Linked DNA regions of Tribolium castaneum. The protein of the gene in region 5 purifies or fractionates together with the protein of the main gene of each other region. This does not show direct contact. Links are inferred from orthologs where the notes say so. Each region holds a gene or a part of one and is shown on either strand. Other genes may lie near its edges.

Region 1 (4,184 bases), on a different chromosome or scaffold from region 5:
AGAGTTTCAGCACGGGCTTCAAGTATTAGCCAAAGAAACGTACAGTTGTTAGGTCAAACAATTGAATGACTCAGTTTTATTTACCAAAGTTATTTTAGTAGAGATAGCTTAAACTCTAGATTACAATATGTTTTTGACACTTTATTACGAATGTAATCTTTTGTGTACGATGTGTTAATAAAATTTATTTGAATGGAATTTTTGGGCCATTGAAGTCACGAAACACAATTATTATTCTCCAAAATATTTATTTAACTATAAAATACAACGTGAAAGCATGTATCAACAATTAAAGTCTTTGGGACTTTATTAAAACCAAATTAAAAAAACGGATGCAATTTAGACTGAAGGGTAAATATAAAATAAATTATTAAAAAATAACGTTTAATTGTAGTAACAGATATTATTTCTTATTGCCTGAAGCTCCTTTTTCAATATTCATGCTCTCTTCAAAATACTGATTAGGGTGATTAATTCCATTTCCCAGCGCTTTTCCGTGAGTGTATTCGAAATATTTTCCACAAGCTAGTTGATAATGACCATCAGAAACAAGCTGCTTGATTTCATTAGCACCTGTAATAGGTACAAAAAGTACTTCATTTAAATAAAAAAGTAAGCCAACTTACCATCAACGCTCACACCACATTCGATAACTTTCTGCTTAACAAGATTAACATCCCAGTGCTTAAACGGACAGCCATGGTGCTCCCCAGGCCCCACACTACTCGTAATAATTTTAACACAACTGTAGGGCGAATAACTGGCCCTTTTCCCCACCAACCCATACATGTGTTTGATATTGTAAACGTAACCCTTCTCAAACTGATTCAAATCCATTTTTTTCGTGAACTCATCCCTCCAAAATTTGAGCGCATCTTCGTACAAAAGCCCGATAGCTTTCAAGAAAAGACCGTAAGTTAGACGGCCTTGGTGTTTATGGTGGTGTTCAGACCGCAAAACCTCATGCATGTGTTTCATGCAGAGAGGGAAGTGTTTTTTAGCATATGTGTCCAGATCTGCTGGATCGACACTTTCGTGGTTTTCACGGACTCGGTAATTTTGGCCCGTGTGCAAATTGTGGAAATTGGACAAAAGGGGCCCAATACGCTCGTCGTCGAAAAGGTGGATGCGGTGGCTGTACCACTGAAAGTTTCGAATTGGAGTTATTTTAGAGCACGACGAGCGTAGCGAGCGAGTGCCTTCAATAGTTGAGAACATAAGCGCCCATTTCGTTTTACAATAAAATATAAAAAAATCATCTTACGTAAAATAGAATATAAGAAAAAATTTGGTTATTAATTTTGGTTCCACAAGCTTTATAACACTTGTCTAAATATGATTTTTTTCTAAAATAGCAGGAATTAAATGTTTAAACATCAAAATCACAAATTGTTAAACGGTCAAGGTGGCGTGTGTCGAAATAAAAATCGTAGTCACGCGTGCTGTGAAAATTTCATAGGTAACTACCAATTGTTGCTGAAATTTACAAAGCACTCTTGACCACGTTTTTATTGGGGTGCTCAGTTTTAAAACGAAATAGTAAGTCCATAAAAATAAATAAAATATGCAGTCGATCTCAAACCATACATCACAGTATTTTTAAATTAAACTGCTGGATTTCAAACCTGTCAGAGTGCAAATGTTAAACGTTTTAAAAAAAAAATTCCGTTTGATGTTTTATTGTTATTGTAGAAAAAATAGGTTTCAGTTAATAATAAATTTTCGGTACTTATAACAAAATTCTTATAGCATTTATAGCAGAATATTTTTAAGATACGTTTATAATTTCTCTGAAAATGACTAAAATTGGGCTTATTTCGTTATATATGTTTTTATATAACTAGACTTACAGTTAGCTCTTCGCTTAATTCAGCCCTGAACTTCGACTGGATGCAGACCACCAGCTCGCTGGACGGAATATAGGCAAACCCAGCCTTAAGAAACACTTTCCGGCCCCTCACCAACGAGCAAACTTCAGTAAAAGGCACTTTAAAAAATTCAGTCTCCTCGAACAGAATCAACCCCGCAGTTGACGCCTCCAGTTCATGCCTTAGCGAAACCTTCTCCTCCTCCGAAATAGGAGTATATGAGAATTTATAAATTCGTAAAAAATTCTTGACCCCCTCGCGCGACTGAGCCGTGAAACGAATCCAAAACCACTCGAGTTCCCTGCTCAAAAACCACCGTCGCAATTGCTCCGAGCGGCAATACGCCAGCCGGAGGATAAAGTGTGAGAGGTAATCGGCCTTGCGGGCTTGGTAATCCAAGTCGCTCGTGCCACTGGTGCCCCCCATCAAGCGCACGTATTTTTTCAACCCTGCCTTGGCCAAGTCGTCCTTAATGCACGTCTTCCACTGGTCGCTGTACAACCGGTTGCCTTTGGGGGCCGCTTGCTCGATAATTCGCAGCAATTTGAGCCGGTCCAGGGCGATTTGCTCGAATTCCAGGATGGAAATCTCGCTTTTGGGGCTTTCGCGGTACATGCTCACGTCGTGGGGGTACAGCTCGGAGAGGGGCTCCTCGGCGGTGGCTTTTCGCACCGTGCGGCGATACGACGTGAAATCCATGGCGAAAATTCACAATTTACAGTGTTTAGTTAAAACTTAACTCACTTAACCTCACATTTAAATGGTATCCCGCCAAAAACTGGCACCAATATCTGGGGACTAGCTAAAATCACTGCCCGGTTTTTGGGGGCAAAACCAACGCTCAGATATTTTCCAGGTGTGGCGTTCCACCCCGTGTGGCATTTGAAACAATCAAAAAGGAATAATGAGTCGAAATATTGGGCCAAATTAATTTAATTTGAACTTTCTTGTAATTTTTTTATTTCACGGTTGGTGAAAGTGAAACCCACCACGTGTGGCAAAGTTAAATGTCAACTATCAAGTTTAAATAAGTTTTTTTTTGTGTAAATATCAACATTATCTAAAACCAATTGCTGTTAATAAGTGGAAAAACGTAAGTTTTTTCTGCTTTTTGTCAATACAATGCGTAGATTTGCACCAGTCGATAAAAAACGGCACGTGTCGTTAAGTGAGGTTATGTTTTTTTGATCTGTTTTCCTTTAGCAAAAATGGGGAAGTTCCGGTCCAAGCTGAAGGGCCAGGCCAAGGGCAAGCGGTGGCCGAAGGGCCAGAGCTCGAGCTCGAACCCCGAGACGCACAAGTACCGTGATTTGGCCAAATCGCGTTTCTTTCAAGAAAATCTGGGCTCGAGCGGTTTAACGTCTGAGGCTTTGCGCAAACACGATGCAGTTCAGGCCTTCAAGCCGCGGCCGGACCCAGAGCCCATGGGCGTGGACGAGGATGTGGAGTCGTCAGTTGGCACCTACTCCTCGTACAAAACCATGGAATCGTTTGCGTCCGAATGGTCGAGTTACAGCAACATGTCGTTCACCCGCTTTTTGAAAGTCTTCCGGGCCGATTCCGCCCTGCATAAGGAGATGCTGGCGATGCTTGCGGCGATTAGCGAGGTGATTAGGGAAAACGGGGGCTCTGAGACGGCCACTGAATATTATTGTTCGCTGATAACTGCACTTGAACGTGTGTATGAGGGGGAGGAGCGCAGTGAGGAGCAGTTGACGGCGGCGTTGGCTTTGCTGAATATGGGGATCAAGACGGTGCCAGAGCCGGTTTTACGCCGGACTTTTAGCGATTTATCGGCGAAAGTTTTGCACATTCTTAATGATTACGTCGATTCTGATAATAATACGATCGTTAAGTCGATTTTTGGGATTTTGGGGACGCTTCTGAGGAAACAGGAATTGATTGTTTGGACTAACGAAGCAACGGTTAAGATTTTTACCTCGATGTTGAACCCCTTTTGTCTTCATACGAAACCAAAAGTGAGGCACACCTGAGGTGGATTAAGTGGACTGGGGTCCAAAAATATATTTCTACTACGTTTCAAAAATTAATCTCACAGATTTTTTTTTATTTTAATTACTTAATTAGTTAATTAAAATAAAAAATATTTTTGGCAATTAAATGGCAGCACGTTTAATTGAATTAAGTTGCCATTTACTTGAAAATGGTCGACAAACTTTAACGGGACTTTTTCAACATTCGAGCATCGTTAATTTTTTTCATCCTCTCCATAATAATTTATTAATTTTAATTATATAAAGAATTGTCGATAAATAAAAAAAATCATGCTTAGGAAAAAAGTTATCCAATCGTAAA
Region 2 (3,500 bases), on a different chromosome or scaffold from region 5:
AGTCCCGCCCCAAAGTATGGCCACGCATATGAGACACCCTGTAGACAAAAACAGGGGTGCAAACTTGGGAAAAATCAGTGGTACCAACAATCAGGCAATGCTTACCTGCTTCGTAAATCATTACAAATACATAAAAGAAACTTGTAATGACTAATAATTTAACCTAAAAAATTGTGACAGTGACAGGACGGTACCAACCATGAAATAAAAACCCCAATTTTTTATTTCTTTATTTACAACACTTTACATTTTTTTACAATAAATTAACCGCGTTTTCTGTTGGAAATGCACTGGTTGATGACCTGGATCAAGTGTGGGTTTTCCAAAGCCGCCGCAACCCTTTCCTTATCAGCTAGTTGTTTATTTACCGAATTTTCCGCATTATGAGTCCCTTTAGTGACCTCAACCCTCACTTTAAACCTTGCCGGTAAACACCTAAGTAATTTCACACGAATTGAAAGTCCTATTAGTGTGGCCATACTACAATGTGGTATAGTTGGTGTAAAATTTACAAAAATCGAATTATTTGCATTGTCAACTTGAATCAGACTTTCCTGGACGACGTGCAATTGCTCTAGAGTTAGGGGATGTTCTGGATCAGTGATATTTCTAATCAGATCTGAAATCTACAAGTTAGGAATGAATTTGTGAGGTTAATGTTAGTGTCACCAAAAATTTCTCTGGAGTCAAATTCGTCAACAACATCGTCGTTTTCTTCTTCAGCTGTGATTAAACGATCAGTGGTTTTGTTATAAACGTTGGGGTTTTGGTTTTCGAGCTGTTCGAGGCGCATTTTAAGAAAAATGTGGACTCCCCAAATGTCAAACTGAACTAACTCAAAAAGTGCAATAAAAATAGGAATTAACTAAAATAAAACACTTATTTTAGTTAATAAAGTTTCAAAATAGTGGATAAATATTGCATTAATAGTTTAAAATCTAAATTTTATTGTTCTCCGACAATATTTGCATCTAGTATAGGCAACCAGTTGTACGCCGGTGTTTCAGGAGTTGCCTAAAGTTTTAATTTCATTAATTTAAAATTATAATATTTTTAATTTTAATTAAAGGAATTGCAAAAAATCTGAAAAAAGTCACACCCATAGGAAAACTGGGAAAATTAAATCGCGCTCTAAAAAATTAGATTAGATAAAAATTCTTTGCATGTTACAAGCCTGACTGAACATTAGAAAAGTGTCTCCCCTAATTTTTTGGTAATTTTTCACTTACAGACAAAAGTAAGAATGAAAAAAAAATTTTCTGGCCAAAAAGGCAAATTCTGAATTCACAGTTAGTGTCCAAAAACTCATAAAACTGCTAGGATTTTATTCATTAACAAAAAAATTAATAAAAAATAATTATTAATTAAAAAAAGTCCTTATCAGTGTATATATAGTCAAGTGTGTAAAATTTAATTTTAAATTTTGACTAATTAACGATTCTATTGAATTTATTTTTGAATTTTTTGTAAACTGAAAAGTTATAATAAAATAATATAAAAGAGATACAGGGTGTCCCAGCGATTTGATAAAGTCCATTATTATTGACCTTTAAATGTTAGAAAATTATCTGTTTTTTTACAAAAAACTGTAGATATTAACCCCCTCTGACTCACCTAAAATTATTAATAATTATTAATTAAAATTATTAACTATATATTTTTTGTATATTTGGGTGTAACCTTTAACAATAAATTGTTTTTGCTCAATTGTGTTTTTGAGATAAACAAGTTTTTTTTTAATATGACATAAAGGCTTAATCCTAAAAAAGTGGGACTTTCACCACATCAAAGAAGACAGTTCAAACTCAAAGGACATGTTTTTTTTAGCTCACTGAGATCAAAATAAAAAAAATTATATCTAAAGGTTAGGATATGAAACGACGTACAAATAAAATGCTCCCGTTCTCGGTAGTTTCGTTTAATGTCGCCAGAGAGCACAGTTGTTCCAATACCGTCTAAGTTTTTTTTAATGGTTGTATTTGCATAACGGTTAACATATAGCATACAAAAAAAAATACAGACAGATAGAGCATTAAATTCCCAATATTAAGGCATTAAATTCCCAATAGTAAGACATAAACATAATGCAAAAACATTATCGTAAACTATATTTAAAAAAAATTCAAACTTTTACTAACTTGCACACTGTCTCATATTTTCCAAAACGCTGCGAATACGGTTACAGATGCAAGAAAAATGTTAGGAAGAAAGTTGTAGAGAATTAAATTTCCTACAAAAAAGTCCGCGAGACCATATTTTTATCTTCAACCGTTTAGGCCCCAAAGTCATTCAAAGACGCTCAAGCGACGGATTTGCTTCATTTTTCCAGTGGTCAAGTGATTTTATACCCAAACCGTTGAAGATAGAAATATGGTGTCGCGGACTTTTTTGTAGAAAATTTAATTCTCTACAACTTTGATTCTCACAATTTTTTTGTATCTTCAGCCGTAATTACAGCGTTCGCAAAAATGTAAGATGGAACGCAAATTGATAATTCTAAGTGATAACTTTTTGCGCACCGTCGCATATTTATCAAAACGCTGGGAATACGGTTAGAGATACAAAAAAAGTGTAAGGAACAAAGTTGTAGAGAATTAAATTTCCTACAAAAAAGTCTGTGACACCACATTTCCATCTTCTATAATTTAGGTATAAATTTAAAATTTTTCAAAAATTCAAATTTTTGAATGTTTTTGGGGCCTAAACCGTTGACAAAAGAAATACAGTCTTGCCGATTTGTTTTGTGTTCAGAAAATGTTGCAAGTTTGTATCCTAACTTATAGTCCTCCGTAGTCCGAAGTTAGTAAAAAAATAATAATTTTTCAATTATTTCCAGGTCAATAGTTGCAGCAAATTATCTCATTTATTTTGCGTTGTGAAAAAAGAGTTTCAGGTCTTGTATAATAAAACCCAACGTGTCAACAACATTCCGCAAGCTCTCTAAATAGTGTTTTTTTTCATGTGTTGTTTATAGCCGTCCCCAGCATCGGGCAATTAATATATCAATATGTAAATAAAAATAAAAGTGTGTAGAAATATTCAGGCGCCGGCGTCAGATTGTGTCATAAGAATGCTGTTATACCTAAATCAGGGTTCTTGACGTCTCTCAGATGCCTGTTATCTAGATTATAAAATCGAAGCAATCAATCAATCGTCCGCATCTAAGTCGTGTGTCTTTTTTTGGTCACAGAGGCGCCAACCGAAACCCCCTATCGATACCCTCTGACCCCATCCGAATATCATAAATAAGATTTTAGGGGTTTTTTGGTGCCAGTAGCGCTGATTTTATGGGTCTGATGGCATCCAACATGATTGATAAACGCAGATAATTGAAAAAGTGGCAATAAAATTGTCGTAAAATAATTCAGATCGAGCCGGTTTATTGAGCAATTTGTTAATAATTAATACGTGACGTCTGCGATTAGCGAACGATTTTCTTAAGGGGGTCGCGTACGTCACCAGGCGGCGCCACCAACGCATTTATAAATTTGGTAACGAAT
Region 3 (3,987 bases), on a different chromosome or scaffold from region 5:
ATTTTATACAAAAATGGGCTCGCAACTGTATTTGAAGCTCCCAAGTGGGCAAAAACTGCCGGCTTTGGGCCTAGGGACTTGGGAGGTGGGTTATTGGCATCAAATTTTTTTTATTTCATTTTTTATCAATCAGGCGATAAGCGATGAAGAAATCGAAACTGCGGTCAACAACGCCCTAGATTTAGACTATCGGCACATTGACACAGCTTGGGTTTATGAAAATGAGGCGGCGATTGGGAAAGTGTTGAAAAAACGCTTTGCTTCCGGCTTGAAAAGACAGGACGTTTTTATTACGACTAAACTTCCGATGACGGGGGTTCACCCAGACAGGGTTGACATGTTTATAAAAAAGTCATTGACGAATTTGCAATTGGATTACGTCGATTTGTACTTGATTCATTTCCCCGTTGGTTGTACTTATTACGAGGGGGAAGCACGGCCCAGATTTAACGATAAAGGGGAGATTGAGACTGAGGGAAAGACCGACCACGTCGCCCTGTGGAAGGTTTGAAAAAAAATAACTTAACACAAAAAACGCTTTATCAATTACCGAATTACCACCGTTTTACCAGAATAAAATAGTGGGCTATTTGATGCGCTCACTCGCTATTGCTCGTTCGTGCTTTAAACAGTATTAATTATGAACGAATTAACACAACTTGTAGCTATTTTTTGCCCATTGTTGTAAATTTTGTAGAAAATGGAAGAGCAGGTTGATGCCGGAAGGGCCAAAAATATCGGTTTATCAAACTACAACATTTCTCAAATTGAAACCGTGCTAAAAAACGCAAAAATTAAACCCGCCGCACTTCAAGTCGAACTCCACGTCTATTTGCAACAACGCGAACTTGTAGAATTTTGTCAAAAAAACGGAATTGCTGTTATTGCCTACTCTCCTTTGGGGAATCCCGGCATGAACAAGTTTTTGCAAAAAATGGGCCAACAGTACGATTTTTGCGCCCTTTTTTTCATTTCTAGACACTTTTTTGCAGACCCAGACAGTTGGCAAATATTTTGGAAGATGCAAAAATTAGTGAGATTGCAAAAAAACACAAAAAAACACCAGCTCAAGTGGCGTTACGTTTCTTGATTCAGAGGGGCATTGCGGTTATTCCTAAAAGTGTAACGCCGAAACGAATCGATGAAAATCGAAAATTGTTCGATTTTGTGTTGAGTGACGATGAGATGAAAACTTTGTATGGTTTAAATGTGGGGGAGGCGGCCAGAGTTTGCGATTTTAAGGTCTTTGGAGGGTAAAGAATAATCACAGAGTCAGTTTTTAGCCTTACTTTGGTTATTTTAGACTTGATAAACACCCCGATTTCCCGTTCGCACAAAAATGAGCTTTTTTAATTGAAACATTACAATGTGACCGGATGTTGGTTGCATAACCCATGATATAAAATGATTATGTTGTATTTTACCCTTTACTTAATAAATAATCAAATAAATAGCAAATTCATGTTTTTACACACTGATGATATCGATCATTATGCAACGAAATTTAAATAAAAAAATAAATGACGTAATGTTGGTTGCATAAGCTCGCAACCAATTGCGACACAACCTCACTTTTTTTGGCGGGAAAAGTTGTCACTGTGTTTTGCGTGATGAGTGCCTCTTTGTACAATGAAGACAGCCTCCCTGACCTGCTCCCCATCTACTACAAGCGTCTGTTCCCCCATACAGCGCTCCACAAATGGCTTTGCTACGGTAAGTTGCCTCCAAGCTCGATTTTGGTCAAGTGAGCCCCTCAGGTGACCCCAACGTGTCCAACCGGCGCGAAATTTCGTTCACTCTAGTCGGAGACATTTACCTCCGTTACCAGAGTTTCGAAAATGCGGAGGACTTTGCCCAAGCGCTCCATAAACGCTTCCCGGTTAAAATCGATATTGGGGCTATTTACAAGCAGCGACTTGAGTCGTCTGGAAGTTACTCTAGCTCCAAAACACCAGTCGAGCGAGAGATTGTGTTTGATATCGATATGACTGATTATGATGATGTTCGGACTTGTTGTACGGGAGCTGGGGTGTGCCCCAAATGCTGGAAGTTTATGGTGATTGCGTGCAAGATTTTGGATGGGGCTTTACGGGAGGACTTCGGTTTTGAGAACATTTTATGGGTGTTTTCGGGTCGGAGAGGCATCCATTGTTGGGTGGCTGATAAAAAGGCCCGGATCTTGGATGATAATCAACGGTCGGCTATTGCTGAATATTTGACTTTGTTGCGAGGGGGCCTTGTGGTACGAAAAGTCAAGTTTTTCAACATGCATGCGGCCACTGAGTAATTATCTCCTCATTTTTGCTCCCAAGTTGTGTAATAATTGGTTAATTCAAGGAGGGCCTTAAAAGTCATTGATGAATATTTCGAAAAGTCGATTCTTGTCGAACAGGACATTTTAGGGACTTATGAGCGCTTGGACGCTTTTTTGGGCAACATTGACGAGGGTTTTAGTCCTTTGTTTCGAGACGCAATGACCAAAGTTCAGACTTCGGTCGAGCGCTGGAAGGCTTTTGTTAACACTTTTCAGACGTTACAAAGAGAGCAAAAAATACCAAAACACTACAGATACATGGTTGAGGAGATGAAATTTTACTATGCGTATCCGCGACTTGATATCAACGTCACCAAAAGCTTAAATCACTTGCTGAAAGCGCCGTTTTGCATTCACCCGAAAAGTGGCAAAGTTTCGGTGCCTTTTAAGCCCAAATTCATCGAGCATTTTGACCCAGATGCCGTACCCACAGTCAGGTAATTAACTGCCCGACACTGAAAATGTACCACTTTGAATACTATACAAGTGTTGCTGTTATACTTCTGCCCGAAACTGTGTCTTATTTTTTCACATTTTTTGCCCGATTTTTTACGGAAATATACAGGGTCTCTTTTTTGAGGCTGGCGAATATTTGTTTAAGTAATTTTGATTATAAAAGAATACATACATAGAAAAAAAAAATGGTTTCTGAGTGATTATTAGTGTTTGAGGTACAGTAAAAATGCACTAACTCTGTATAAAAAGTGGCACATTTTTTCCGGTGTGCAGTTTAGTATTCACAGAGCATTTTGCTTTCTTAACAAACACCGAGAAAAATGGTTTCTGAGTGATTATAAGAAGTGGCACATTTTGTGTGGCGTGCAGTTTATTCAGGAAGCATTTTAGCCAACTCTTGGACGAGATAAACACCTACGATGCCAAAACCAAAGCTCAGGAGAAAGATTTAGCGGAAAATTCCCAAACCAGTGTTAAAATAAAAGACTACAAGAAGACAAGTTTACTCAAATATGTTACAATTTTTTGCGAGTTTTTAAGAGGCTTGCAGGCTTCAGCTGCCCGAAACAGGGCCATAAAAAATGGTGATTTTTATTGCCTTGATGTAACGAACACAAATTAATTGTTTGAATTTCCAGGAACTGTAATGGAATATTAATTAGTTTACGTTTTTTATTACTCATTGTTACTGATTACGAAATAAATGAACATTTATAATTTTATCGTTTTATTTACCCTTACACACACAATATTTTTTCAAAAACGAATCACTAACACACCTAACAATGGCAAAATCTAGCCTTTTAATTTCACCATCGAGCTCAAAAACCTTATCAACATACGTAACAAACGCCTCAAAAACTGAATAGGGGTACGTTTGGACACTTATTAGTAATTTCTTGTAACCCGAACTCCAGGAAGCACTGGAACTTAACACTTTCCTCAACTCGTAACTCCGACACATTCGCTGATCAACAAACTCATTTACTTTATTCACAATAAAAAGTGAGGCGTTCCTCACAACTAAATCGTCAAGATTCGTCAAAACGAACCCATCACAGGGACAAGACCTATTCTCAATTTCCGAATCCAGACACGACTTTTCCGTAACATCCATAAAAAGCGACTCACACCTCGGACAACTCTGACTAGGTTTCGGGTCCTGATTCACCTGAGTCAGCACCATAATGTCTTGCAAAGTCATGTACAGATCAAAC
Region 4 (3,171 bases), on a different chromosome or scaffold from region 5:
TTACTAAAAAAATTTAGGAAGTCTATTTTGCAAACGCAAAGCTGTCTTATCCGACCGTTTCCGTGGCTTCGAACCAACAAATCGCGTCATGCTAATCGGCACTTTAGCACACACCCTCCTCCAACAATCTTTGAGAAAAAAATTAACAAAAAGGAAGCAAATTGAGGCGATTTTGAAAAATTTGCTCGCATCCAAAGACACGATAAAAAGATTGTACGAAGCCAACCTAACCGTTGCCGACCTTGAATCAGACTTGGAGGTGTTTGTGCCCAAATTGGTCGCTTTTATCAGCGAACACATAACAACGGGGCAAATCTGCGACATTGAGGATATTGAGGAAAACTTGTGGTGTCCCCAGTTGGGGCTCAAGGGAAAAATCGATGTTACAGTGCGGTCAAATACCGGCGTTATGCCCCTCGAGGTCAAGACAGGTCGAGCGACTGTCTCACTTGAGCACAGAGGACAAGTCGTTTTGTACTTAATGATGATGAATAAGTTCGGGCTTGATGTCTCCTCTGGTCTGTTGCTCTACTTGAAAGAAGGGGTTTTGAAGGAGATTAAGGCCACAGAGCAAGAAAAACGTGATGTTTTGATTTTACGGAACGAATTGGCGTATTTTTTGGCCAGTGACGTAGGGGAATTACCGGAGCCGTTGAATAATATTCGGGTTTGTCAGAAGTGTGCTTTGAGTACCGTTTGCAGCGCCTATTTGAAGTGAGTAACTTTAGTTAAATGTTTTATTAATAATAGAAATAATAAACATAATAAATATCAGTTTGACAGTTCGAATTTGACATATTTAATGTCACTTTGACAAATCATTTTTAAAAGTCCGAAGGTATTTCCCCGAAAATTTTGATAAGTTTGTTATTATTGTATATATTGAAAATAATAAATTGGACCAAAAACAACATCAATCAGTCCACTCGAATTACATAAATCAGTGATTATCTCAAAATCATTTTTAAACTTAATACGGTGTTATTAAAATTATGAGACCAATAAGTGAAACCGGAAAATGTAACTTTTTTAACTTGCTTAAGCGCGTATTCTGTAATGAAATCGTTAAAATTTAAAGGCCGTTAATCGTTGTTGCTATAACAACAGCCAATAAAATTCCTAGATTTGCGATTTTAACCAGTGTTAAATTTCAACAATCCGTTAAAAAAGTTACTGAATTGGGAATTTTTGGACTTTGACATTGACCCTAATAACAAATTGACCATGTTTTTTAACAACATTATGGATAATTTTTACTCAGCGTTTCCAGAAAAACAGATCAAACGTAATAATGGTTCCAAAATTTCTGCTTCTAAGTGGCTTAGTCCAGGATTTAAAAAAATTAGTCTAATATTTTTTTCAAATTGGTTCAGGGACTACTTTAAAAAAATAAAAACAAAAAAATTGGTTTTACACCTTTAGTTTAAAAAATGAATAAAAAATAACAATATAAAAATAAACAGGGGTAGCCATTTGAAATAAGCACAATAAATGGCTCTAAAAAATTGTAAGCACCCTGTAGCAATTCAAATCAATCAAACTTGATAAACTGTTAGAACTTGTTCAATATGTACGTAGTAATAATGTGATCAAAAAGGCACTGTTTCTATTTTTTTATCAATCTTTAAAACAAAAATTGTAAAACCGTTTTTTTTTCTTTATTTTTTTACAGTAATTTTTGAACCGATTTGAAAAGAACATCAGGGTCTTGTAAGAAGCTAAAAAAGTATCCTAATGAGCACAAAAAGATAATGTCATGCCATTAAAAATATATCATTTTGTCGTCATACTTTTTTGGGACTCTCTGTATAATTAACAATATTTTCCTGAATTGTCTCCTAGAGTATAAACAGCATCTAGAAAATATAAAACACCAACTTCTTCCTAAAGATTTTAAATGTCTTTTCTTAATAGTTCTACTGATGAAATAAAGACCTATTTGATTAAAAAAAATCTACAGTATTGAGAAATCTCTGAACAGTAACTTTAGTGATATTTAATGGGAATTTAATTAATTTATGTTTATAAATTCTTTATGATTTATTTTTATTATTTAAGTTTAAGTTTGTATTCATAAATATTATTAAAATATACTTAGTTTGACATGTGCATTTATAGCATGAATGAAGAATTATTATCATTATTATTAATGTTATTTTTTTTGTTCAGGTTTGAAGATCACGATTTAACAGAAAATAAAGCGATGCAAGAAGTACAAAAGAAATCAATTGGTCATTTGAGTCAAGCACACTTAGATTATTTTCTTAAATGGAGTAATTTGTTGAGCATGGAAGCACAACATAGTAAAACAACAAAGTCGCTACAACAAATTTACACTTTACCACCGGCTAAAAGGTTCGCGTTTGTTGTAGTTTGAGTGGTTTTTACGTTTTTGTCTATTTTTTAGAGAAGCTTTAGGTCGATCGATTGTCAACATGAGAGTGACTTTTGTCGAAAATGAAACCAACGGTTTATTTAAACATACAATGGAAAAGGAAAATCCCAGTTTGGCCAACCTTACGGCTTACGATATCATTGAAAATAATTACATAGTCGTCAGCACTGATTCCCGGCCTGCTGTTGCGTCAGGATTCGTAACAGAAGTCTCCCCAACTCAAATCAGTATTACACTTGATAGGTATAATAAACCACGCCCCCTTGTGTCCTTGTCATTTTTAATTGTAGAGATCTCAATGTAAAATATCGCAATCAATTGTTTCATCTCGACACCTACGATTCAAATATCACTTTCACTTTTAATATGACAAGTTTAGTGTTGCTTATTGAGAATTCGGAAAGGGCTGCTCAGTTAAGGAGTGTTATAATTGATAAAGCTCCGCCCACTTTTGCACCAAAACTGCCGTCAGTTGTTGCGAAAAAGGGGGCCCCGATTTTACGACGTCTAAATCATGTGCAACAGAAGGCTGTGCTTAAAGCATTGTGCGCAAATCAGTTTTTGCTGATCAAGGGGATGCCAGGCACTGGTGAGTGAAAAAATCTAACTTGGAAACTACAAAACATACACAAGTGTCCCAGTGAGTTATGGATCTTTATATAATTGAAAGATAAATATTTTTTCCAGAAGCTGGAGATACTAACCCCCAGCCTCACCTAAAATTATTTTCAATCATACAGGGTGCTTGAGAAATGCGCTACTATGAACTTATGTTT
Region 5 (3,946 bases):
AATCTACAAAATTAAATTAATTGGTTAAATTCAATTTGAAATTATTACTTTTCTAAATTGGACTAAAACGGCCGGTTTTGGTGCGAACTCTAGTAAATATCCAAGGCCTGATAAATACGAATTCTTGTCTGGACTGTAATTCGCACTTAATTTATTCGTAACTATCGTAAAAAACTTCTGCTGGTACAAAAATCTACAAGTTATTTAATTAAAATTATTTAAGTGCTAAATTATCAACTTACGCAACATTGCAATGACTTTTGGTACTTAAAGACTCCGAATTGGACATAATTGTGCGAAAACACGGAGCTATACTTTCATCTTTATCCAAATAATCGATTAACTAAGGCGGAAAATTAATTAATTAACGACTGAGCTAACGCAATTAATTGCCTACTTTTGTGGTCCAGAATGTGCCTAATTCGTGATTACGCATAATTAAGGCCTTGGTGAGCCATGACGTAAGAATGGGGTCGGTTTTAGTGTCAACCCGTTCCAAAAATTCCCTAATTACATCATCTACAATTAATTGTAATAATTAATTAAAACACGGAATTAAATTACCATTGGGACATTTGTTCAAAATATTTGCAACCAGTTCTATAGCTGCGTTACGTCTCAAATTATCCCTCTCCCTAATTATAAATTCAATTAATTCGCTTAAAATTTCGTAATTAATTACAACATCGCGCCTTAAACAAGTCAAGATCCCGCTTAGTAAAAAAATATCCTCAATCTTAATTCGACTTAATTCGTTTCGAATCATTTCATTTTGTTTTTCGCTCGACATTCGACCAATCACAATTTTCAAAACAAATGCAATCGTTTCGTGACACGTATCACCAGTCAAAGCCATCTCGATCAACACATGGGTGATATTTTGTGCGTTTAAAACGTCAAAAATCGCGTCACAATCGTCAAATTTGATTAAAACTTTTTGTAATGTTTTTATTGCACAATTTTTCAAAATTAAATCGATTAAATGGGCCGTGAAAAATTTTTGATTTGCCAAAGTCACACACAAGGCGTCTAGAAAACATGGAGTATAGTTTTCTGTATTACCGACCACGTGCGTAGCCACTTCGTTCGGGTAATCCCGTGCTAAAGCTTCAAGACATTGTAAGACAGCGCCTTCTTGTGGCACTTGTAACAACTTGACGTAGTTTTGGTAAAGTAAAAGTCGGATTTTTTCGGGTAGTTTCGGCGAAATGTCACGTAAACAATCAAAAGCGATTGGTGAGTCAGATTTTACAAGTAAAACCGGTACTTCCCCGAGATTTTCTAAATCGCTGGCAAGTGCATACAAGTCGGTTAGTAGGCGCAAAAATGGTGTTTTTTCAGCCGTTGTGTTGGCTATATTATACATGTTTGTTAATATGGGGACGGTTTCACGCGCTACGAGGTTGGCAACGCTGTCCGATGCGTTGGCAACACTGATTATCAAACGTGCCGACGGTTGGAATAATTTTGAGTCGGGTAAAAAATTTCCTTTGATTGTATCGCAGATATCTTTGACCGTTTCTGTCAAATTTGGGTCACGTGTGTGCTTAATAACAGCTGTCATTGTTGTTAAACAGGCTTTTTCAATTGCTGGATTTGTCGTTTGGAACAGTTCTTTTTGTATGAGTGGCCATACTGTGGTTGGTGAAATATCAAAAGTAACAAATGATAGTTCCTACAAGTTTGGTGTTTAGTCTGCGGTCCGCTACAAAAAAAACCACTTACAATAAGTCGTAACGAATCCAATTTAGCAATTTCAAGCGAAGAATCGAATTTTTCTAACGCTAATTGAAGGGAGAATTCGGCAAATTGTGGAACGGCAACGAGGCAAAAGGCGAGCTTTTCAGCGAGGGTATTTCGAGTTATGCCCTGTAAAAAATTATTATTGATTGTCGTTTAATGGGGACAAAGTGGGCACGTTTTCGTCCTGTGGCGGAGCCCTAAAATCAACAGGGAAATAACACGCCAGGATTTCGAAAGCGTCCTCAGCCAGGTGCCCCAATTTGACTTTTCGTAAAAATTTCGGAAACCAATCAAAGAGAAAAATCAGGTTTTTGGGGCTGCGTTCGCCATCAACCGCCGAAATAACACCGTAGACAAAGTCGGGCCCCATTTCATCCAATTCTGGAAAAAAGACTGATATTGAATTTTAAAAGGGGGCCCAAACCTGGCCAAAATTTCTCCAAACAAGTCTCGAAAATTTGATAAATTGCTAATCTGTCGTTTTCTTGTTGTTGTTGGCACGAGACATTGTGGAAGAGTTGGACGAGAAAAGGGCCAGGGCCCCCTTTCGGGGCCCCCTCGCACCGAATTAAGGCGAGAAAACCGCGCAAAACGGCCGGTAACACCTAAAATCGCCCTCAGTTAAAAAACAGTAGCCCCTGGACTGACATACAAAATGATTGTCCTTAAGCCGGTCCGTGTAAAACTGATTTAAAAATTTTAATTGATTTTCGTCCAAAACATCGGGGGGCAAAGTCTCGACGACACGTGTCAACACCCACATGCCCAGCTCGCGCCCCTTGGGGCTCGTATCGATAAGGAGCCCCCCTAGGTCCTCGACAAGGCGTAACAAGGTCACTTGACCCGATTCAAGTGCTGAAAGTTGAGGTTATGTCACAATGTGGGGCCACTTGTACGTACCTTGGGCCAATTCGTGGCATTTTTCGGCAAATTCTTGGTCATCTATTGTAACATTTTCGAAATTTTTGGCCAAATTCGAAGCCATCATAACCAAACTTTTTGACAGATGATAATTGACCACGCATGCCCCAAATAACCTACTATAACCTTCATTTTCAAATTTCAAAAAATTACGCATTTAATTGCAGATTAAATTAATGACGCATTTAATTGCAGATTAAGTTAATGACGCTTCTGTAAACCGACCCTTAAACTTCCGTATAGCGCGGGTTTTATTTTTAATTTTTAAATAAAACACAGGACCGTACTTAGATTTTTATTGACTCAGTATTGCTCGCCCATAAGTAATACAACCAGGGCCGTCCAGCCCGTAAAAGGCCTACAGCCACTCCCCTCCCCCGTTTCGTCATTATACTGTTCCCACAGATAACCCGTTTTGAAATATTGCGTCATCACGTTTTTAATCACATTTTCCCGCAAATCTTTATAAATCGCGTTGGCTTTATCCCGATAGGGCCCCTCCGTATTGGCGTAGAAATACAAGGACCGGACTGCTAGAAAATTGATATTTATCCAAATTTGGCCCCTCCAATATGGCGGATCATGTTCGGTGTTGCGTTTCATATACAGGGGTGAATTTTTGGACAGTGATCTTAGACCAAACTTCGTCCATAACAAGTCAGGATTTCGAAGGTCATCCAAAATCTGGCCCAATTTCAACGAATCCGAATCAATCATTTGTAACAAAAACGGAAACAAACTGACGTAACCGAAAGTCGAGTCGACCAATCGGTATTCGGGATTTTTCAAGGTCACACGCACCATCTCCATGTTTTGGTTTTGTGACCTTGGTAACGGTTTCGGTCGTTTTAATTTAACAGAATCAGTGTGGTAACCATAATCGGCGTAACGCGATGCGTAATTAGACCAATGTAAATTATCCAATAGGAAATTGTCTTTCAAATAATCGGCAGTTTGTTCGTATTTATACCCATCACGGTCCAACAGTGTTGCCAACCTTGCTAAAGTATCACTAGCTATGGCGATCCAACAGTATAGATCGACGTGGTATTCGGCTTCGGTCGGATGTGACGCTCGTGGATAATCGTCAAGGCCCGAAGTTAAAGTTTTCGGATTCAGCTCACGATTGGTTGTTGCGTCACGCCCCCTCCACCGGTACATGCCAGGCCCCGCCCCTTTTTGCGTGGTATTAAACCATGCAAACCACGCCTGTAACCTTGGATACAACCGTTCCAGTGTTGCCAAACGTCCCTCGCTCAACTTATCGTAATATTTACGCAAA
Region 6 (3,500 bases), on a different chromosome or scaffold from region 5:
AAATAAAAAATAAGAATAAGGTAATAAAAACTCTTAAAATAACAAAAGTAAAAAAAGTTAATATGGTAGCGCTCAGCTCCATTTGCGTGTGCGTCATCTGACATTTCTGTCACTACGTGTACATAGCAGGGGCATAGCGGTGACAAACTATCAAATATTTTTTGAGGTTACGAAGTGTTTAAATTATGAGTTGTTACAAAAAATACAGATTCACAAAACAAGAACTAATAAACGCAGAATCAAAAACTAACGAAACGCAAATTACAAAACACAATAAACGAACAGAAAATACTTGCGATTAACACCGATAACACTTTCGACAACCATGCGACGACGTCTATAATTTACTGTCAATGTCACTTTGACAAATTCGTGACACTTGACGGTGTTGTCGAAGTGCACATGTAAATTAATGTTCAAGGATACCACCCTTAGATAGCCCTTAGTTGTTTAAATTTGCATTGTTTTTGATATTTTTTTATAGCTTCGTGTTGGTAATGAAAAAATGAAATTGATGATGCACACGCAAATCGAGCTGACCGCCACTATACCAATTTACGGTCTAATAGCACCTAACGCAATATCCCTGCACACAAATTTTCAAATGAACATTCTTTAGGACATCTAATTTTGATAGTAATTGTTGCCAATTTAGTTTCAAAGGCAATGTGTAGTTAACTTCTATTTTCAATATAATAAGTAAATAAATGTTCCAGTTTAAGTGACGAGCAAGTTACAACCACTCCAGCAAATTGTATGTTTGTGAAGTCATCGGTTAGACCCGGTTTGTTACCACACATCTTGCAACATCTTCTTGCAGCGCGTAAAAAAACCAAAGCTGAGTTAAAGGAAGCAACAGATCCTGTTGTAAGAGCCGTTTTGGACGGTCGGCAATTGGCTTACAAAATTTCAGCTAACTCGGTTTATGGTTTTACGGGAGCTCAAGTCGGAAAATTGCCTTGTTTGGAAATTTCAAGTGTAATTTGTTTCACGTTTTTGTTAATTATTGTTTTTATTGTTGTGTTACTTTAGAGTGTAACTGCTTATGGTCGAACAATGATTGAACAGACGAAACAAGAAGTTGAACAACATTATCGCATTGAAAATGGTTACGAATCCGATGCGATGGTTATTTATGGGGACACTGACTCGGTTATGGTTAACTTCCGAGTGAAGTCTTTAGAAAGAAGTATGGAGCTGGGGAGGGAAGCAGCTGATTTGATAAGTGCCAAGTTTATAAAGCCCATCAAGTTAGAATTTGAAAAGGTGAAAATTATGTTAATTTTTATCAGAGTGGTCGTGACTTTGAAGTTAAGTTGGCAGTCTTGTTATTTTAAAGTCACAGCTAACTTTAATCAAGTTTTTCTTTATCTTTTTGTTTATGTTTGTTTGGTTTAAGGTTTATTGGCCATACTTATTGATTAATAAAAAGCGTTATGCTGGATTGTATTTTACAAAACCGGATAAATACGACAAAATGGATTGCAAAGGTATTGAAACCGTACGAAGGGATAATTGTACATTGGTTGTTGATGTAATTAATTCGTGTCTGCGAAAACTTCTGATTGATAAGTAAGTTTTTTATATTTTATTTTATTTTTAACGTAGCCTACTAGATAGTAGATTATGTTATTAGGAGCAAAAGTGATACTTTATCTGGCGAAGCCGAAGGTTTACTGTTTTTTTTTAAATAATGTTTTTAAACATTAATTTTTTGTAAAAGTAGAACATATTACACATGTTTGTGCCTTTGAAGACTAAGACATCGACTTTTGATTTCTTTTTTAATATTTTAAAAATACGTATTCGAATTAAAAGTAATTTTTACAGCATAATCTTTTACCAAAAAAATCGTCGTAGTAGGGTGCCATTTGAAAAAAAAAAAAAGAAAAAAAATATCACAAACGATAGGGTTTCTAACACGCTTCAATTTGATGCTTTGATAATCTCCCAAATTTTCATGATGTAAGCGTAAAATGCAAAAAACTACATTGAAATATTTTTTTTTCAAACCATTGCAATAATTTTTTTATAATAACATTTCTTATACTTTTTAAGTGAGAATTCCGAAACTGAAACAGTTTGTTCGCAAAATCCGAAGAGATGATTAATTAAAAATTGTTAATTTTTGAGTTATTAATTTTTTTTAATCAATGTTGCAAACTAAATTTAAAGTAAAGACTGCTTTAATTAGATGTTTCATTGAACACTTTTGATGGCAATTCTAAATAACGTTCTTAATATTGAATGATTTGAGAAAGAAAATATGAAAGCAAATATTTTTTTATATGAAGTATACTTTGCTATTTAAATTACTCCTAAGTAGAAACAACCAACAATTTTCTAAGTCAAATACAATGTGTTCAAAAATGGCTGTTCATCACGTCGCCTATGAAATTTGAACGTAGTATGCCGTGTAGTTTAAATTAAGAACTTTGCCGAAAAATGCAAAAAAAGTGAGTGAAAAGTTAATTCAAAAATTTCAGTACTCAGAAAGTACAATTAGTATTATTTTTTGTATTTGGACGAAGCGACACATTGAATTTAAATGCCATAGTCGACTTGATGGACAACAATTTTTGAACACATTCTATTTGTTAATGTGGCCCACTTTCATGTTTTTCAAATTTTTCAGAGATCCAGATGGTGCTGTTAATTACGCCAAAAAAGTTATTTCGGATTTGCTCCAAAACAATGTAGATATTTCTCAATTGGTGATTACGAAAGAACTTACAAAAAATGATTACGCTGCCAAACAGGCACATGTTGAATTATCGAAAAAAATGACTAAACGAGATCCTGGAAATGCTCCTAAATTGGGAGATCGCATACCTTATGTTATAATTGCAGGAACGAAGAATTCCAAAGCTTTTGAAAAAGCAGAGGTGATTAATTCACTTAAATTGTTTTTAGGTTATTGAACGTGTTTTATTACAGGATCCTATCTACGTTTTGGAGAACAACATTCCAATTGATTCGCAGTATTACTTGCAAAATCAATTGTCTAAACCTTTGATTCGCATTTTTCAACCGATTTTGGGAGACAGTGCTGAGTCAATTTTGCTACGTATGTCTAATTATCTACAGTTTACAACGTTTACGCTCACTCGTTTTGGCAAACATAATGCTTGTTAAACAAAATCTTTTCATAACTGATCACGTAAATAACTATTTGTGGTGTTCTAGGGGGTGAACACACACGGACTAAAACAATGGTCACTTCTCGAGTGGGTGCTTTATCAGCATTTACTAAAAAGAAAGAGACTTGTCTGGGGTGTCGTTCGGTTTTACCAGCTGGTTATGAAGCAGAAGCTGTTTGTAGTCACTGTAAACCAAAGGAGGCAACGTTGTATCAACAGGAATTGGGACATCACAGAATGTTAGAAAATCGTTTTTCGGAACTTTTTACCGAGTGCCAGAGATGCCAGGGATCTTTGCATGAGGAGATTTTGTGCACAAGTCGTGACTGTCCAATTTTTTATATACGGAAGAAGGTTCAA
Region 7 (4,157 bases), on a different chromosome or scaffold from region 5:
CGTCGCCCAAGTCCAGAAGGACAGGTTGAACGGACTCCTCGGAATCAGACTCCTCACTAAATGGGGCTGTGTGAGACTTTCCACGACTGTTTTCCGGCAATTCATTCGCATCAGCCATTATCATACACGCTCAAAATAAATAAACGTCAACTTTTGTGATGCTGTCAAGTGTCAGTTTTGTCAACTGCGAGCGCGCCTACTAATTCGAATTAGAAATTGATAAAATTTTCAAAAATACAAGTTTATTTCAACCTCTAGTCGTTAGTCAGGGTTCTGTTGTTGTGTCATACGCCCTAACAGATCATTACCATTTTCTGAAACCGATGATTTGTATATTGACAACTAAAGGTTGGTACTGCTTAGAGAATTCTTCCCGAAAAAAATACTGGACTATGAATTAGTACTGCCAACGTAACACTTGCGCAAAGGTGAATCCAAAAAAATTCTTTTGAAATCAAATAATTTATATTTGTTTAATAATAAAATTTAACAACTTAAAGTATCATCCACAAGAATCTGAAAATAATAGACACTCCTAACACAACTAGGGTGATTAGCACCCTCACATCGTCCGTTTTCTTCAACTTGACTCCCGAAACTTCGCCGTGTTGTAATGGCTTGGCAATTCCAGGCATGACCTGGCTTAGGGGTTCCCCCGTCATTGAGAATTTCGTCGCACTCACAATTTTCACAGTGACCAGCTTCCCCATGTACTTCTCATCTTTCGGCACCAAAACTTGCTCGTAAAATTTGTTATGCCCCACGTAATGTTTCTTATCGTGGGACACTTCCGTTACTAGCACCTCCTGTACTTCCCCTACTTTCTTATCATACGGCTGATACGAATAAAACAAATCGGTCAACCGCTTAGTTCTGCCTTTCACTTCTTGCGCTGGTATTCTCGGAAGCAGAGCCGCCGGTGTGCCAGGCCTTGGGAAGAACTGGTTGATAAATAAACTAGGGAACTTGTATTTTTCGCATAGGGATAAAGTGTCTTCAAAATCTTTTTCCGTTTCTGTGGGAAATCCACAGATTATGTCGGTGGCAATCGTCATGCCTGGGATTTGCGATTGGAGGAAATCAACAACGTGTTCAAAATCTTTTCGGAAGTATTCGCGTTTCATGTCGGAGAGGACTTGGTCGCTTCCGGATTGGACTGGAACGTGGAGAAAACTGTACACACGGGGGTGGTTCATTATTTTTGCAACTTCTGATAAGTGTTCGAGGATGTAAGGGGGGTTGGTCATCCCTAATCTCAAGCGACAGCCTTCAGGAATTACTTCGACAAGCTTCCAAAGCAGCTCCGGGAGCGAAGTCCCGATGTCCCTTCCATATGTGCCTAAAATAAGCCAGAATTAAATTTCAGGCCAAAGTGCGACGACAGTTTTTTTTGAAGGACTTGTCTTCACTCTGCTCGTCACATTGCAAACATTTACGATTCTTTAATAGATAAACTCAGTTGTTAGAACAACTCTAGCTAGAACCTAACAAGAACTGGGTAAAATATGTACTCTAATTTTTATTGTAACAATTATTTTAACGATATTTTGCAAAATATTTGCAATTCTATTTGAAAAACCTGCAAAAACGCAAAAACAAAAATATCATTTTTGTCCCAATGCAGTGATTATTAAGTTTGTTACTTCTGCAATGAAAAATATTTGGGGAAAAACATATATTCGGGTTTTAAACGTTGCCATAGCTCACTATGATGCAAAATTAAATACCTGTATCTTCCGACGTGAGCCATATCTCAACAACACCCTCTTCAAAAGCTTGTTTCGCCCTTTCCACGATCTCTTCAGGTGGATAACTTCCTAATTCCCCCCTGGCATGTTTAGTTTTACAGTAAGTACACTGATTTAAACACCCTGTATTGATAGCAATAATTTCAATCAAGGGATTTCGCCTAACTTTAGGCAACAGCAAAGAAGCACCCCCAATTTTTTTCCCTTGTTCTTTTTTTGTACCCAACAATTTGACCGTATTTCCCTTCAAAGTCTCCTCAACAACTTCCACAACTCTGTCAATTTGCTGCACCCCTATAATGCTAAGACCTTGAATGAAGGAGGCTTTAGGGGCGCCCTGCGGGACACAACCGGCCACAACAATGTACTTTCCTAGTTCTTTGGCCTCTTGAATTTGATTTCTGTAAAAATTATTGAAAGATTTTATCAATAATGTGGTAAAAAAAAATTACCTAAAGTGATCCTCAGCTGGGTTTTTGACTGTACAACTATTGAGTAACCAAAGGTCGGCCTCTTTTTTGTTTTCGGTCAATTTGTAACCGTAAGCAGTCAACTGACCAGCCATGTACTCAGTGTCTGAGCTGTTGTGGGCACAGCCCCACGTTTTAATGTAAATTTTTTGAGTCCCTGGAATATTTTCACCGCTGACTGGCTCCACATTTTCAATCTTTTTGTCCTACAAACAAATGCATAATTTTTGCCGAACTTTAAGACACAAATTTTACCCTCTTTTTAGCTTTGACTTTAACGTTTTTACGCGAACTGTATCGTTCTTTCGGTGTTATGTCTTGAGCGGATACAAGGTCCTCAATGTCGTCGATTATTTCGGCACATGGGGCCGAAGGATTTAAATCGCTGTTTATCAAATAAAAATACAATTTAGTTGAAACATAATAGGCCTAAAAAAATACCTGTTTTCTGCTATCATTGTGTAATTACGTGGCACTTGAAAGTAATTTTATGCTTTTTGCATTCAAACCCTTTGTTCTTTTCGATTTGTTGTAAAAAAACTGTTGCAAACTGACACGAGTTCTCGAATATTAGGTTATATTTGCCCGAGTTTTAGGTTATGAAATGTGTCAAAAAAATGGAGATGTCAAAATAAGGGATGTTTTTTTAATTACTCGTTAATTTTACAATTTGATGTAATTTCCACCAGGAATTGGATGTAAATGACAAACGTGTGATCTACCAATACACTTTTGGACACAAATTATTAGAATTTTTTAGGTTATGACCGGAATAACAAAGGCACAAAAACGCAAGAACGGTGAAAAGAAAAATAACGATGTGAAAGAAACACCAACACCTTAGTACGATTTTTATTATTCCACGTTAAGCGTTCTGATCTTTTGTACATTTTAGCCGTTATGGCCCCATGCCAAAGTTCCCAAATCAGCGCATTTGGAGCCGAGGTATTGTCATATTAGGAGTTCTCTTATACGTTTGGTACACGTCAAAGGATGGCAAAGAAGTGTCGTTGGCGAAGCAAAAGGATATTTTACCCATGAGGGGGCAAACGGTGGACTGTGACACCAAATATTTGGATGAAATTAAACAATTCCCCACTTGTGTTCCAATTAAATGCGGGAGGTTTGTCTCCGATAAACTTGTCACAATTAACGAAGCAGAAACTCTGCTAAATGTGGCCAAGAAAGGAATCAGTCTAGGGGGCTCCTCTGGAGGCGCTTCAATCTTGGACATCCACTCAGGTGCCCTTTCGTTTGGGGAGAAATTTGTAAATATTTACACCCTGAAAGGGTCAGAAAAGTTCATCACAGCGTCGGATTTAGCAATTTATAAAATTGTCAAAAATAAGATCAAACATGCAATTGCTGAAAATTTCGGTATAGACAGTGAAAGTCTGTACTTGACGCATCCAACTTTTTTTTCGAAATTGTCCAACTTGGAGTCAAAGACGCCCCACGATGAGTATTGGCACATTCATGTGGACAAGGTGCCTATTTTAATTTATCAAAGTTAGTTTTCAAATATTTTTTTCAGGAAACTTATGAGTCATTTCATTACACATCGTTGTTGTATCTCACGGATTTTTCTAACGATTTTAAAGGAGGACGTTTCGTGTTTGTAGACGATGCCGAGAAACCGATGAAAAATGTTACAGTAGAGCCCAGGAAAGGAAGAGTCTTGATGTTCACCTCAGGTGCTGAGAATCCCCATTTTGTCGAACGAGTGACTTCTGGTGTTAGGTACGCAATTACCGTTTCGTTCACTTGTGACAAAACAAAGTCAATCAGTGATCCAGCAGCACATTAGCTAGTCAGTAAGTAATTAGAGTACTTAAACATTCCTCAGTATAAGTAATGGTTCGAATAATCGAGGCCGCACTGTAGTTACTGTAGATAACTGTTATTTGCCCTGTATTTATTCTAAAATACAGTATTGTTT

What was found.
Region 1: the proteins of Mms19 (region 5) and Prim2 purify together in Homo sapiens (affinity purification with western blotting; 5 studies listed by BioGRID and IntAct, with this or other methods). This does not show direct contact. The link is inferred for Tribolium castaneum from reciprocal best matches to the Homo sapiens genes MMS19 and PRIM2.
Region 2: the proteins of Mms19 (region 5) and galla-2 purify together in Homo sapiens (affinity purification with western blotting; 11 studies listed by BioGRID and IntAct, counting the BioPlex papers as one, with this or other methods). This does not show direct contact. The link is inferred for Tribolium castaneum from reciprocal best matches to the Homo sapiens genes MMS19 and CIAO2B.
Region 3: the proteins of Mms19 (region 5) and Prim1 purify together in Homo sapiens (affinity purification with western blotting; 3 studies listed by BioGRID and IntAct, with this or other methods). This does not show direct contact. The link is inferred for Tribolium castaneum from reciprocal best matches to the Homo sapiens genes MMS19 and PRIM1.
Region 4: the proteins of Mms19 (region 5) and Dna2 purify together in Homo sapiens (affinity purification with mass spectrometry; 3 studies listed by BioGRID and IntAct, counting the BioPlex papers as one, with this or other methods). This does not show direct contact. The link is inferred for Tribolium castaneum from reciprocal best matches to the Homo sapiens genes MMS19 and DNA2.
Region 6: the proteins of Mms19 (region 5) and PolD1 purify together in Homo sapiens (affinity purification with western blotting; 3 studies listed by BioGRID and IntAct, with this or other methods). This does not show direct contact. The link is inferred for Tribolium castaneum from reciprocal best matches to the Homo sapiens genes MMS19 and POLD1.
Region 7: the proteins of Mms19 (region 5) and threonylcarbamoyladenosine tRNA methylthiotransferase purify together in Homo sapiens (affinity purification with mass spectrometry; 4 studies listed by BioGRID and IntAct, counting the BioPlex papers as one, with this or other methods). This does not show direct contact. The link is inferred for Tribolium castaneum from reciprocal best matches to the Homo sapiens genes MMS19 and CDKAL1.

The regions. Positions count from the first base shown.
Region 1 is NC_087395.1:23,554,214-23,558,397, reverse strand, and holds Prim2 (DNA primase large subunit), read right to left. Parts: upstream 2,801-4,184; 5' UTR 2,568-2,800; coding exon 1,851-2,567; intron 1,144-1,850; coding exon 627-1,143; intron 574-626; coding exon 404-573; 3' UTR 283-403; downstream 1-282. Other genes in the region: RRP12-like protein, read left to right, coding at 3,077-3,847. UniProt on the Homo sapiens protein: Regulatory subunit of the DNA primase complex and component of the DNA polymerase alpha complex (also known as the alpha DNA polymerase-primase complex) which play an essential role in the initiation of DNA synthesis.
Region 2 is NC_087394.1:1,667,320-1,670,819, forward strand, and holds the end of galla-2 (MIP18 family protein galla-2), read right to left. Parts: intron 866-3,500; coding exon 670-865; intron 620-669; coding exon 264-619; 3' UTR 216-263; downstream 1-215. Other genes in the region: transmembrane protein 234 homolog, read right to left, coding at 1-38, 106-121.
Region 3 is NC_087395.1:25,582,804-25,586,790, reverse strand, and holds Prim1 (DNA primase small subunit), read left to right. Parts: upstream 1-1,463; 5' UTR 1,464-1,610; coding exon 1,611-1,713; intron 1,714-1,757; coding exon 1,758-2,283; intron 2,284-2,337; coding exon 2,338-2,751; intron 2,752-3,160; coding exon 3,161-3,354; intron 3,355-3,408; coding exon 3,409-3,428; 3' UTR 3,429-3,487; downstream 3,488-3,987. Other genes in the region: aldo-keto reductase family 1 member B1, read left to right, coding at 1-85, 134-505, 698-945, 993-1,253, 1,304-1,343; uncharacterized protein LOC659605, read right to left, coding at 3,498-3,987. UniProt on the Homo sapiens protein: Catalytic subunit of the DNA primase complex and component of the DNA polymerase alpha complex (also known as the alpha DNA polymerase-primase complex - primosome/replisome) which play an essential role in the initiation of DNA synthesis.
Region 4 is NC_087394.1:25,789,546-25,792,716, forward strand, and holds part of Dna2 (DNA replication ATP-dependent helicase/nuclease DNA2), read left to right. Parts: intron 1-17; coding exon 18-714; intron 715-2,169; coding exon 2,170-2,355; intron 2,356-2,407; coding exon 2,408-2,638; intron 2,639-2,685; coding exon 2,686-2,984; intron 2,985-3,171. UniProt on the Homo sapiens protein: Key enzyme involved in DNA replication and DNA repair in nucleus and mitochondrion.
Region 5 is NC_087400.1:4,137,469-4,141,414, forward strand, and holds the start of Mms19 (MMS19 nucleotide excision repair protein homolog), read right to left. Parts: upstream 2,801-3,946; 5' UTR 2,732-2,800; coding exon 2,644-2,731; intron 2,599-2,643; coding exon 2,396-2,598; intron 2,349-2,395; coding exon 2,168-2,348; intron 2,125-2,167; coding exon 1,919-2,124; intron 1,870-1,918; coding exon 1,726-1,869; intron 1,676-1,725; coding exon 565-1,675; intron 520-564; coding exon 398-519; intron 344-397; coding exon 243-343; intron 194-242; coding exon 49-193; intron 4-48; coding exon 1-3. Other genes in the region: GCS1 (mannosyl-oligosaccharide glucosidase), read right to left, coding at 2,968-3,946. UniProt on the Homo sapiens protein: Key component of the cytosolic iron-sulfur protein assembly (CIA) complex, a multiprotein complex that mediates the incorporation of iron-sulfur cluster into apoproteins specifically involved in DNA metabolism and genomic integrity.
Region 6 is NC_087397.1:21,404,755-21,408,254, reverse strand, and holds part of PolD1 (DNA polymerase delta catalytic subunit), read left to right. Parts: intron 1-716; coding exon 717-978; intron 979-1,032; coding exon 1,033-1,266; intron 1,267-1,399; coding exon 1,400-1,572; intron 1,573-2,635; coding exon 2,636-2,885; intron 2,886-2,937; coding exon 2,938-3,067; intron 3,068-3,186; coding exon 3,187-3,500. UniProt on the Homo sapiens protein: As the catalytic component of the trimeric (Pol-delta3 complex) and tetrameric DNA polymerase delta complexes (Pol-delta4 complex), plays a crucial role in high fidelity genome replication, including in lagging strand synthesis, and repair.
Region 7 is NC_087394.1:32,857,710-32,861,866, reverse strand, and holds threonylcarbamoyladenosine tRNA methylthiotransferase, read right to left. Parts: upstream 2,801-4,157; 5' UTR 2,677-2,800; coding exon 2,660-2,676; intron 2,604-2,659; coding exon 2,474-2,603; intron 2,425-2,473; coding exon 2,201-2,424; intron 2,150-2,200; coding exon 1,728-2,149; intron 1,340-1,727; coding exon 495-1,339; 3' UTR 444-494; downstream 1-443. Other genes in the region: l(3)04053 (endosome-associated-trafficking regulator 1), read right to left, coding at 1-124; 2-oxoglutarate and iron-dependent oxygenase domain-containing protein 3, read left to right, coding at 2,921-2,929, 2,979-3,061, 3,114-3,705, 3,753-4,025. UniProt on the Homo sapiens protein: Catalyzes the methylthiolation of N6-threonylcarbamoyladenosine (t(6)A), leading to the formation of 2-methylthio-N6-threonylcarbamoyladenosine (ms(2)t(6)A) at position 37 in tRNAs that read codons beginning with adenine.